Schizosaccharomyces pombe: one gene and its partner. The protein of the gene in region 1 purifies or fractionates together with the protein of each later gene. This does not show direct contact. Each region holds a gene or a part of one and is shown on either strand. Other genes may lie near its edges.

Evidence for each region. The genes of interacting proteins can lie anywhere in the genome.
Region 2: the proteins of ubp12 (region 1) and cul3 purify together in Schizosaccharomyces pombe (affinity purification with western blotting, with the first as the bait; one study listed by BioGRID). This does not show direct contact.

Annotation. Positions count from the first base shown.
Region 1 is NC_003421.2:2,328,071-2,334,799, forward strand, and holds ubp12 (CSN-associated deubiquitinating enzyme Ubp12), read right to left. Parts: upstream 4,402-6,729; 5' UTR 4,338-4,401; coding exon 1,398-4,337; 3' UTR 799-1,397; downstream 1-798. Other genes in the region: NADP-dependent prephenate dehydrogenase Tyr1, read right to left, coding at 1-293, 393-478; ATP-dependent RNA helicase Dbp9, read right to left, coding at 4,859-6,646.
Region 2 is NC_003424.3:485,108-490,977, forward strand, and holds cul3 (cullin 3), read right to left. Parts: upstream 3,608-5,870; 5' UTR 3,509-3,607; coding exon 3,467-3,508; intron 3,411-3,466; coding exon 2,026-3,410; intron 1,987-2,025; coding exon 1,877-1,986; exon of another isoform or gene 1,825-1,876; coding exon 1,760-1,824; exon of another isoform or gene 1,716-1,759; coding exon 1,542-1,715; exon of another isoform or gene 1,491-1,541; coding exon 1,081-1,490; exon of another isoform or gene 1,025-1,080; coding exon 853-1,024; 3' UTR 616-852; downstream 1-615. Other genes in the region: TIM23 translocase complex subunit Tim15, read left to right, coding at 3,672-3,922, 3,967-4,243; gup1 (MBOAT family O-acyltransferase), read left to right, coding at 4,909-5,155, 5,231-5,664, 5,705-5,824. UniProt on the Schizosaccharomyces pombe protein: Probable core component of multiple cullin-RING-based BC3B (BTB-CUL3-BTB) E3 ubiquitin-protein ligase complexes which mediate the ubiquitination and subsequent proteasomal degradation of target proteins.

The DNA.
Region 1 (6,729 bases):
TAGGACCATGCATGGAATGACAAGATATGATGTCCACATCCTCAGGCAAGTATTTTTCAAATGCATTCATCTCTGGAGCCTTACATGATGTTTGACCTCCGACAATCGCTCCAACTTTAGTTGCAGGCCCATATAGAGCAACAACTTTATCAATATGTTCAGCTTCAACACTGTACAGAATGTAGTCACTCGTTCGTGAAACTTGAAATCCATCCTTTAAAACGGTATATCCCCCATTTCCATAAGTCGCTTGTATTGATTCGTAATTTTCCGGTCGATCACAAACATTTACTCTATTTATGATGTTAGAAGGTGCTAATAGAAAAAGTCCCTAAAGGCACTTTGAAAAGGAGAGCTAATTGTAGATTGTAGAACAAAAATTATTTACTTACCTCCATCCTGCCTTACTGATGTACTCTGCATACAAGCGACCCATATCGCCAAATCCTATGATGCCGACCTGAAAAGTCTCTTTCATTTTCCCAAAATCGAATCCCATTCTGTATAATTTCTTTGGATTTTCAAATAAATATTATTTTAACTTTAGTAAAAATAGAGAAACTTTTTTAACTAACATATAGTGACTTTTGCTTATATATCAAAGGATGGTGGTAACTAAGGGTAATGTGAATAAGCAGAATCGTTATGATACTGATTGATACACAAGTGGAAAACTATCTAAATACAATTTTTGGTTATTTTTTGATATTCTACTTATAACTTCATACTTCTTGATAGCATTTGAATAAAGTATTGATTGTACTCGAATTAATATATATGAGCAGCTAATTGTGGAATCTGCATAATCTGAGCTCATTTTTCTAAATTTTACTTCGTTAATTAACATTCAATCTAAAGCATTTGATCAAAAAATCTATTAGCTAAGAGAGTGAAATTTCAAAGCAGGCAAATACAAACAAACTGGTTTCCCAAGAGTAAACTGAAATACTCCAATAAAAGTAATTTGAAATCTAAAGCACTTATTAAAGACCAAAAATAGCTGAATTTTTGAACAAAAAAATCGAAGACTAATCCTCATTAAAACATAGATCTTAAATAATCTCCAACACGCAGGCGCTTTAAAAAATGCTTTAAGTAGTTTGAAACAATTGTCAGCACAAAAATTCTTTTTAGTAGCTGAGAGAAATGTAATACCGATACTTTGTCGAATTATAAAGGAACTGTTGTCTACTTAATGATACAAAAAATCCTTAGCGTAAAATAAGTAATAAGTTCGGCTCAAAGGTATTAGAACATAATGGAATTTTTATTTAGATAAACGACAATAAATTGTGCCTAACCACAAACTGCAAGTTTTTAGTCACATTGACAAGAACCGTTTTTTAATTAGCATATCAAAGATTGATGCAGTAAGTACTAGTATTGAAAATTTCATTTTAGCTTGTTTTTCGGCGATAAAACAACAGATATGCAGCTGAGGTGACAGTTTCTTCAGGACATACAGGAGTGACCCGTGAATCATCAAAACAATAAAATTGTCCATTGTCGGGATTTTTAGCAAATGCTGTGTAATGACCGCCTCCAAGACCGCCATAGTGATTATCGACAGCATAAAGCTCATAAATTAATTTAGGATTTTCTTTTTCGGACAATTTATAGCTACCCGTCCGCATAGACATATCTAAATTGTCAATAGGGAATTCAACTAAGTCGTCAATTTTATCCCTAAACCTTCTTTCACTGCTAAATCTCTTCAAATGGAAAATCAAAATTTCGGGGCATCTCCAAATTTCCATTTGTTTACTAGCCTGTCGAAATTCTTTGCATGTAGGACAGTACCAAGGATCTTCTTCACCCAGTTGCTCCGTTTTTTCGAACTCATCTAAACAATCATTCAAAGTAATGGTACGAGAATCTTCAGAATCATCCTTTTTGTCCGACAATATTGTTTTTGATTCTAGCCACAATGAACGTCCCATTTGAGGAGAAGAAGGTGCCACACTAAATACAAATTGATAGGATTTTTCAGGCCACTCACACACCAGCAAGTCACCCTGAATAAGCAAACGATCATTTTCCTTTGCGGTCAACTTGGTGTTTTCGTTACTCTTCGAAGGCTCAGGATATGAACCGGGTGCAACGTCTTTGAACTCACTGTCATCTTCTTCCTCAATTGAATGAGCATCTAAAGGATCGACCGTCGATTCTAAATCCTTTTTATCCCGTTCGGTTAACAAAGGCAAGTTAGAAACACTCATGTTCCAACCGGTAGGGATTTTTTCAAACCGATCATGGAAAACTCTCATTTCAAACAATGGTGTCTGACTATGATCCATATCAACATCCAACGGACCTTTTTGCACTTGTTCATCTTCGTGGCCAAGTTCCAAAGACTCCAACGAGTCAATATTTTTTAAGTTTTTTAAAGTTGTAAATTGCTGATATTTAAGTTTGAGCTTTTCACTTATAAAGGAAGCATCAGTAACTTCATTGTCTGACAATTGCAGGACAAATGGGTGACCAAAATCGCGTGAACTCATATAGGAGTTTGCCGAATTTGTAGAATCATCAGATATATGATAGACAGGAACCAAAATGTCATCAGATCCATCTTCGTACGGTCTCTCTAACTCATAAAGATAAATTTCATCTTCCTCAGAAATCTCCATTAACAAAGATTTGGAAAGTTGTGTAAGGAACCTATAGAACCTTCCCTTATAAGTTTCAGTAACCAATATTTTCCTGTAATCGCTACATCCAGATTTTTCTGCGACATATTTGACAAGGTCTTCAATCGTCGCCGCCTTACTCTCGAGTACTACCTCAATAGCTAATGGAGTAAGATTTGTATCAGCTGGAATAAAGGTAACAGTATGCGACCATACTTGCTTGACAGGTAATGGAAGGGTAAGATCCATGAAAGGATCAAAGGTAATCGAGACGGTGTTACAAACAGGGCACACAAGGGTACTACGATACATGCCTTGAAATAAATCTACAATAAGAGAGTCATTCCTTAGTTTATGTAATCTCCAGCACTCCTCAGCAGTATTTTTTATTTTCTCTTCGTCCACTTCATACAAGTCGGGTTTAGAGGTATACGGCTTTTGATAGATTCTGTTCAAATCTTCATGTAGTCCATCTAGAAGAAAAGCTAAAAACTCTTGAGAATCCTGTTGGCCATATCCCAAAAAAGAATGATTGAATTTACCAATAGTTGCTTTAAATTGCCTTGGAGCGAAAGAGGAATGTTCTGGAGAATATAAAGATTTTATAAGAGATGCAAATATACTGGCAACTTGGCCACCCATACCAAGGGGATTTGACTCATTTACTTGATTTTTCCACTCATCTGATGTAAAAAAGTCACGCAGTTCACGAGTGTGGGTTAAACATTGGAGTGCGGAATTCATATAACAAGTATTTCCAAGGTTGCTAAGACCACAGGTTCCTGGAACCCTTTTTTCTTGTTTTTGTTCTTCATTAGATGATTGATTATTTCTCTGCTGAATTAAGAATTGTAGGCGAAGCGCACGGTCTACTGGCCATGTTTCATTTATCATGCATTCAGCCACTAATGAACAGCTACTGTCCATTCCCAGTTCTACCAAAGTCTTGGATTTTTCTAAAAAATCGATAATTTCTTTCGAATTGATTTTTATAAAAGATGAGGGATCGATAGTTCTATGCAAAGGCTGATCCGTGTCAACTCTCCATAACCTAAACTGATCACTGGGGAGAGAAAGGGTATATTTAACCCCTTCCAATAGATCCTCTAAAGTACTTTTTGAGGAAAGAGATATTTTTTTAGGCTTATGAGACTCATTCGCGTCCACAGCATTGGTGCTCAACAGTGTTAATGAAAAGATTGGTGGGTAAACTTCAACTACCAAATGAGGATGCGACTCTGAGCCCAGGTTTACAGTTTCCCTTGGAAATTCGGGTCCTTTTAGTCCATACCAGCGAACCAATAAATCCCATACATCTCGAGAAATGATGGTAAAATCAATCTCTTCTTGCAAATCCGGCTTCAACGTTCCAGTTTCTAAATCAGCAATATCTTCTTGATCTACCGGTCCAGGAAAGGGACCATCCTCTGCCAAATACGAGCAGAGTCGTTCATACCAACTATACGAAAGAATGTAATTGTCAACCTGTCCCAACTCAAGTTCGGGTTGATTGTTTACCAACTCGCCTATTAACTGCTTTTGTTCTGCAATAGAAGGAAGGTTCTTTGATATTTCTGAAGCATCACCCAAAGATATTGATTTTTGTGAAATATCATCCATGTTGGAAGAGCTTTGCGATTCCTCGCTCAAGGACCGCGGTCTTTTTCCGTGATATGAAGAAGTAGAACTTTCCGACAGAGAATCCATATAAAATGAAGTCTCTTTTGTCGATGTCAACAAGTCCAGCTCAATATGGAAAATTGCGTTGTTCAAATGGGAGGATAAGAGAATTTTTAAAAACGGTAAATTAATTCTGTTATCTCAAGTATTGACAGAATATGAAAAAAAATTGTAAATTTCTTATACATTAACAAATATTTATTTAAAAATAAGCCTAATGAGAACGTACATACGAATACTATAAACTCTACAAAATCTAGGCAGGAAAAATTAATATTAAACAGAACTTACTAATTTTGATTATTCTTGCAAGTTAAGTCAATTCAAAAGCAGGTTCAGTCGGTAAAATTACAGAAAGGTGAAACAGTGAGAAATTTTATTGAAGCTCTACCACTTAAACACCGCAATTTTATAAACCCTTTAATTGTATAACCCATAATTCCTAAACTAAAAATTTAACAGACCAATATTTTATTATAATTTCCCAAAAGAAAGAACAGAATGCACATTTCATAATCATTTGATAACCACATCTTACCGTAAAAACTTTAAGATTTACGCTTCATAGAGCGTAAAGGGTCGTGCCGATGCTTAGGATTCTTTCTAGATTTAAATACCTTTCGCCTATTGTTCTTTTTAAATGGTACAAAGCCAATGTCCTTGTTAACGGCTTGCATTCCTTTTGGTAATAAATATTCAGGAACATGACGGAGATGTCTCTGGGTGTGACCAAGGCGAACACTGGAAACAGTATCGTGAGTTAATGATAGTAACTCATCTGGATTTTCAGCAAAGTAAGATTTCAACTTCTCTGAAATAAGTAATTCCTGTTTCAATTCAGCAGCTCTTGCGGCTGAAACAGCAACGGTAGTAACAGCACGAAGAGCATCTTCCATACGATAGCGGAAAGCATCAATTTGATTCTTATCAAATGAGTAAGGTTGTAGGCTAATTTGCTTTTTTTCTAAGCGACGTAAAACGGACTCATCTTTTTTACAGGATTCCAGACTCGTAGGCTTATGTTTGCCAACCTCTGATTTGGGCACTACAAAAGACATAGCGGTTCCAGGTTTTCCAGCTCTTGCTGTTCTGCCGATTCGATGGATATAAGATTTTGTGTTACTAGGCATATCAAAATTTAGAACACAAGCCACATTTTCAAAATCAAGACCACGAGCAACACCATACTCCTTATCTTGTTTAACTCTTTTCTTTTTCTTGGATTTGTCCTTTGCAGCAGCTAAAATGGATTCATCATTGACATCTGCATTCTCCTGATCCTTCATTTTATCTAAAGTTGGCTGATCAGTAGAAATTACTTCTTCTTCGACAAAATCAACATTATTTTCCAATTCTTCTATTTCACCCATCATTCCACTTTCATCAGTAGCAATAATGATTTGATACAAGCCTTTATTATATTGTTCTAAGATGTGTAAACGGGAGTTTACAGGAAGCTCAGAGTTGAGCACTAAGCTCTTCAGACCAAACTGCTCCAAAAAAAGTTTTAGTCGGTAGCATCGGTTTATTTCGTTCACAAAAATCAAGATTTTTCCTTTAATTAATCTGAGTTTGAGAAGGATGTACGCTAGCAAAAACTTGTCTTGCTCAGAGCATTTAACAACGTACTGAGTTAACTTTCCACTTGCTTCTTTATCCTTTACTGCTAAGATAAACGGATTCCGACAAACTAACTTTTGTAAGGATGCAATGTTCTTGGAAAGTGTGGCAGACATTAAGAAGGATTGAGTACCACGGGGAAGGGACCTACTAAGGGTTTTCATGTCTTCGTTATATCCAAAAGAGAGCATTAAATCGGCTTCATCGATTACAAGGAATTTTAACTTATCCAATGGAAGTACACCAGATGCGACATGAACAACACAACGACTAGGTGTTGCAATTACAATATCAGGAAGATCGAGAAGAAGAGGACGTTGTACGGTATCAGAGCTATTCGTCGCAACATTGATAAATCTAATATGCTTGCTGCAAAAAGCAGTAAGTTTTTCCAATACATTGTATACTTGTTGAGCCAATTCTCTTGTAGGAACTAAAAGCAAAGCAAAAATTCCACGTTGATTTTCATCGATTTGTTTTTGCTTCAACAGTAATTCCAAAATGGGAATCAAATAAGCAGCCGTCTTACCAGAACCAGTTCTTGCTTGAGCTACCAAGTCTTTTCCTTCTAATGCTAAAGGGATTGTTTCGCTTTGGACTGAAGTAGGTTTTTCAAATTCACATTTATGAATGGCTCTTTGCAATCTAGGATCTAAATTAAAGTCCGAAAAAGTTTTTTCAGAACTCTCTTCACGTATTCCACCAGATTTTTCCATATTATCAGCTTCAAATGATTAAATTAAATATTTTTGTGTGATTGCGCTAATCAAAGACAGAAATAAAACACACAAAATATATT
Region 2 (5,870 bases), on another chromosome or scaffold:
TTTGTATCTTAGCTTAAAGTAAGAGATTGTAATCAACCTTTGGCAACCTTGCGGATACTTAAAAGTGTTTGGTGGTTAAAAGGAAGTGTGGTACGCGGAACCAATTAAATGAAATTGGCGAACAAGTGGGGTTCGTTAAGATATTTGAGGTTATTTATACAATTTCCTAAACAAATAGAATTAAGCGGAGAATATACAGAATAGCATTGAACGGTAGATATTTTTAGGGGTTCTTCCGAGATTGCTAAAGAGGATAGCGTAGTCCGTTAGGAAAGAAGAATATTCTTAATGTAAACAACCAGGTGTTTCAATACTAAATCAAATACATAGCTTTATTATTTGATTAACACCTTAAAGATTATAAGGAGCTTTACTTGCTCTGGTATTTTCGATGTTATTAGTAGAGTCATCATCAAAAGCATACTGTGTAGGATAGTGTATTTACGGCGAATTCGCTTCCTCCCATAATAATTTTTTAGGTTAACACTTCCCATCTATCGTTGATCAAATACCTTAATCTATTTTAAACTGAGGGTTTTTCTGTTTTGGTCTTTTTGTACAATGTATATGGAACAATGTAATTTAAACTCATTACTCTACTATCTGCTCGCAGAATTAATGTATCAAATTTTGATTGATTTGGAATATAATCTACCTGTTTTCAAACCTTCTTATAGCATTACTTAAAATTTTCTTTTTTTCAAAAATAAAAAGGAAGTTGGTGTAAAATTCATGAGTGTCATTATAATCACAAAGCTTTTGCTAGATATCATCTTGAACAAATTGGTATCTTTCCATTTAAACATGATTTCTCGTATACGAATATTGCATTTCGTGTAACAGTTAAGGCTGCTATGCTAAATATTCATAAATGCGACCATTATCGGCTTGTCTTTGTAGGTACTCCCGCTCTATTAAAGCTTCAATTCGTCGCTTAATCATCATCGGACTAGGGTGGAAACGAGGGTTTAACTGTCTTGTAACCTCTGCCATCAGCTGATTGTGTTCGCACACTTTGCGATCCCTTAATTTACTGTTAGTAAAAATGTTTGAAAAAAAAAAAAAAGGAAAAAGACATACTTCATCACTCTAACAATACAGGCATCTGCTTGATGCTTCCTTGACTCGTCTACCTTCTCTAATGTACGTTTTCTCTCACTATCATCCTCAACACGAGTCTGAGCAACTGTCGATATTTTAATCCGGGCGAGATTTGAAACAAAGTTCTCATTGAAATAAAACTTGTCACCTGCATTCACCTCCCTTCCTTTTGGATCCTTTAGCAAAATCTTGTATTTTGCACAAGCAAGGGACTGAAGATTGCGCTTCAAATCCCCAACTTCTATATTGGTTTTTTCCAAAATCTCCTCAAAAATTAAACACTGATTTTCTTTTAGGTCTTGGAAAAGCAATAGAATAACAGATGCAATAGTCGATACATTCAAGTCATATTTTCTGTCTTTGAAATTAACACGGACATCAGCACTTCCCTAAATAGGATTGTTAGTGTGACGCAACAAGCAAATAAAAGTTTACTATACCATAGAAGGATACCACAATAATTTTCTCCCCGTATGTTTCGATAAATAAAAATCCGTAAATTGATCTATCTGAGCCAGGAGAACTTTCGGAAAGTTACATTTAATTTTGTGAGGCGATAAATCGATGGGCCAAAATGTAGAAGCCAAAATTGAAACGTTTAAGTCCAAAGCAGGCTAACTGTTAGTATAAAGGATTATCAATAAAAATTTCCACTAACCTTGGCCGACTGTAACGCAGAATTATGTTTGTACTCCTGTAACAATTCTTGTGAAAGATTCATATCTAAGCATTAATAAGGGAACGCAAAAAAACTTGCTAAAGTCTGAATACTTACCATTAAACATTCCTTCGAGCTTTTGAGTAAAAACATTACCAGCTTCTTGTTTCAGCCTACTGATCATTCCGAGCTCTGCATCGGAAGATATTGATCGATTATTCAACAACCTAAAAGTGTTAAAGACAGTAAAAACAATTAAAGCATACCTTTTTGCAAGGTGTGTTTTGTAATATTTTTCAAAAACATCTTTTTCTGAAATAAACCGAAATAACGTAACAGAATTTTGAAGTGTTGCTTCAATAGAGCCTTCTATTGCTTTTCTAGCATCTTTTTTCAGATTGTCATCAATGAATAGTGAAATGTACTCGGGGGCTCGGGTATATCCGTCTACGAACGTAACAAAAGCATCTGATAAAGAGTTCAAGATAGACCGATCAGCATCCATAGTAGTACTTATAATTGTATTTAGTCTATCCCATAAGGCCAAAACTTTTTGAACCCATAATGTTGCCATTGTAGCATTAGATGATAGACGACCAACAGCCATCTTTCCTTCAAGCGCTTGGCTAGTAGTTTCATTGATTAATTTTCCATGATGCGCTACATATTTCGCCAAGTATTTTTTTAAAGACTTCACGCCAAGTTCCACTCTAGAAAAGCTTTCGTAAACCAATTGAAGACCCTCGAAGTTTGAAGAGTCGATCATCGAGAAAAAGCCAGTTGATTGATTTTCAAGCAAATCGTCCAAATGTTTACTCAAAAGCTCATCTTCAACAACGGATAGAAGGGGGCTAGCTATTTTTGTGAACAGGTAATTCTTGGACCTCTCCTTTTCTTCCTCAAATCTTTTCTCTGCTTTTTTCAGATACTCCACAACTCCAAATACGCCGATGACTGTTGATGATTCTATTTCATAGAAATTTCTTGTGTAAGATAAAAACTTTGGAGCAAATAAAACATCATAAAGAGTTTCCTTTTTGTTTTCTGAAGGCAAAGAGTTTAGCATATCTAAGCAGTCATTTATTAAGGGTCGATTTATTGTATTCCCTTTACGTTCAAGATAAACCAGAATTAGAATAGTTTCGACACATTTCTCTCCAATTTCAAAACTATTTAACAAAACAACTTCACGAAAGATATATATTCCGTTTTCATTAACAGGAACTTTGTCTGCAGATTTTGAATAAACCTTGTCCAAATATTTTAATACACTAGATATCATTTGCATTGAAACAATGTGATCCTTCCAGGAATTAACTAAAGACGATAAAAATCTATGAGCCGCTTCCAATGATCTCGACCATGAAGTAGAATAGGAATCATTTTTTCTAATATCCAATAGAGCATTCCCTAATAAGGAAGCGTCATAGTTTTTGTAAATAGCTGGAACAGTTTCTTCTTTAAGCCTCGATCTAATAACATCCTGTACATGATTATAAAGCTTTTCTCCATACTTATGTAGAACAAGTATATATGCATTTCTATACAACTCTTCAAACGATAATTGAGATGTGCTTTTCTGAAATATATCCCCAATAGCTCGCTGCAAGACTTCCCAATGTGTAGCAAAGTCTACTTGGTTAGCAGAAAACTAAATGTCAGTATGTGAGGAAAATAATAAGGACAGCATGCATCAGGTACACTTACTTTTCGTGGCGCTCGAATTTTTAACTTCGCTGACCGCTGCATTAATAATGGAATTTAAAGTTAAGTTTCAACAAAAAAGCTAAATATATGGGCATATGAGTTTGCATAAAGAAACGCCAGCACAGACGGAAGTAATGGTACAAAAGGTGGTAGAAGGTACTAACTACGAACAACATTCTCCGAACACAAAAATTTTTCAAACATAATGTGGAGCTTTGCACGGTATACTCAAAAATTCTGTTTACGAAATTTGCAGTTAAAAAATTTTTCAAACAAGGTAAAGGTTTCAAGTTTACTTTTCTGTTCCCCGAATGTGAGAAACATTTCTAATTGGCAATGCAAACGCTTCACTCAAAGCGATGCTAAAGATCTTGCAAGTGGTGTTCCCTCTGTAAAATCAGATGCTGATCAATTACAACCTAAACCGACTTATAATGTTTCTTTTACTTGTACCGTGTAAGTATTTATAATTTCATTGAAGGATACTAACCAAATGAAAGATGTAACACTAGGTCAAATCACAATTTCTCCAAGCAGGCCTACCATAATGGGACCGTTTTAGTTCAATGTCCTAAGTGCAAAAATCGGCACTTGATGGCTGATCATTTAAAAATATTCTCTGAAGAACGGGTGACGATTGAAGACATTTTAGCTAAGAAAGGGGAAACTTTTAAAAAAGGCTATGGTCAAGTAATCAATGGCAATGTTGTAGAATTTAAGCCCCCTCAATTTAAAATTCGACCAGCAAAATCATCTTCTTCCAATTCTTCCAAATGAACTAGGAGAGCGATCAAATTGGGTTTAGGAGCATATAAATTGCAAGATATAGTCATTGTTTATTTTAATTTCTATAGTATATATTATTTTTATTTATTTTTGTAATACTTTGGTCAATATATACGACGTTCTAATAGAACATTTAATTATTATATGAGCTTGTTAACTTGAAATTATCTTTTGAATTTTTAGACTAGATGTGATAATTTAGCAATCATTGAGCAAATCATATCCAAAAAAAAATAAATTAATTAATTAATTATAAAAATTAACGATTTTAGAGATCTAAATGGGCTATACAGAATTATTGCAAACGAATGTAAAACATTTTTCAATATATAAGTTGCTAATTTACCAAAATCAAAATTTAGTCTTTAAAGATGCTTAATTAATATTTCTATTTTAATAGCGCGTTTTGTATAGTGCTGACTATTTTATTCATTCCAATAAACAATACAAACTGAATTTATTATTTTTAAAAATATAATTGATTTCATCATACTCTCTCTACCTTACTCTTAAAATTATTTACGGACTATGAAGCTGACACAAAGTGTAAATTACGCAGTGTCTTGCATTTTGCTAGTGAACACCACTAGGTTTGTTTACTCTATGATATTTTGAGAACCGACCATCTTCTTTGCTGTTGGTAGGAGACTTCTAGGATGTTACGTTTATTTCGATTTGATGTTCTTGAGACTTCGACCAAAGATACTGAAAGACCCAATTCTAAAAGTTCACGGTTAAGTTCGACTTCTGGTTCAAGTCATCCATCTTCATCTTCACGTTTGACCGTTCGAAGCGCAGTTCCGGAAAAGAGCGCTTTTGGTTCCATAGAATTTATTTTTTACTTTTCTGTCATTCTATCGATTCTAACAATTGCTTGTTTTAAAATTCATTATGTTAGTTCTCGTAAGTGTCAAAAGCTTTAATCAGCCTTTTCTATTTATCAATTTGAAATAAAGTAAGCAACTAACTAGGCGTCAGCAAAACATCCCAATTACAAAAACATTGAAAAATATTTAAAGCCTGGGTGGTTGTTTGGACAAAAAGTCGATTCCGCTGATTTTCAGTATTCCGCGTTTCGTGAAAATATGCCAATCTTACTACTTGTAATTATTGTCTATAATTTTCTCTGGAGACTCGTTAAGCTTGTCTTCACAAAAAATACTAATGATGAACTCGCTATAAAAAACAACTATCGACTTTGCTTCTCCCTGCTGTTTGCATTACTTGTCTACGGGACTGGCGTTATATATGTTTTAACAATTGCATTGATCAATTATCTCATTTCTAAGTCTCTAAAGAACAGTATTTTTAATCCACTCTTGACATGGACATTAGATATATCAGTGGTGTTTTTTAAAGAATATTTTGCCTATTGCAAATTTTCTAGCCTTCATCCAGGCCTAGGGTTTTTGGTACGCTATCTTTAGCCATCAGATGTTAATCTTTTTACAGGATCAATATACTGGGATTCTTGAGCGCTGGTATGTTCTTTTTAACATTACCATGCTTCGGCTCGTGTCATTTAATATGGATTATTACTGGTCCTTAAAGCACAACTCTGAAAAACTTAACGTAAGTTTGAGCACATGCCTTTTGAGTTTATAAATAATAACCATTA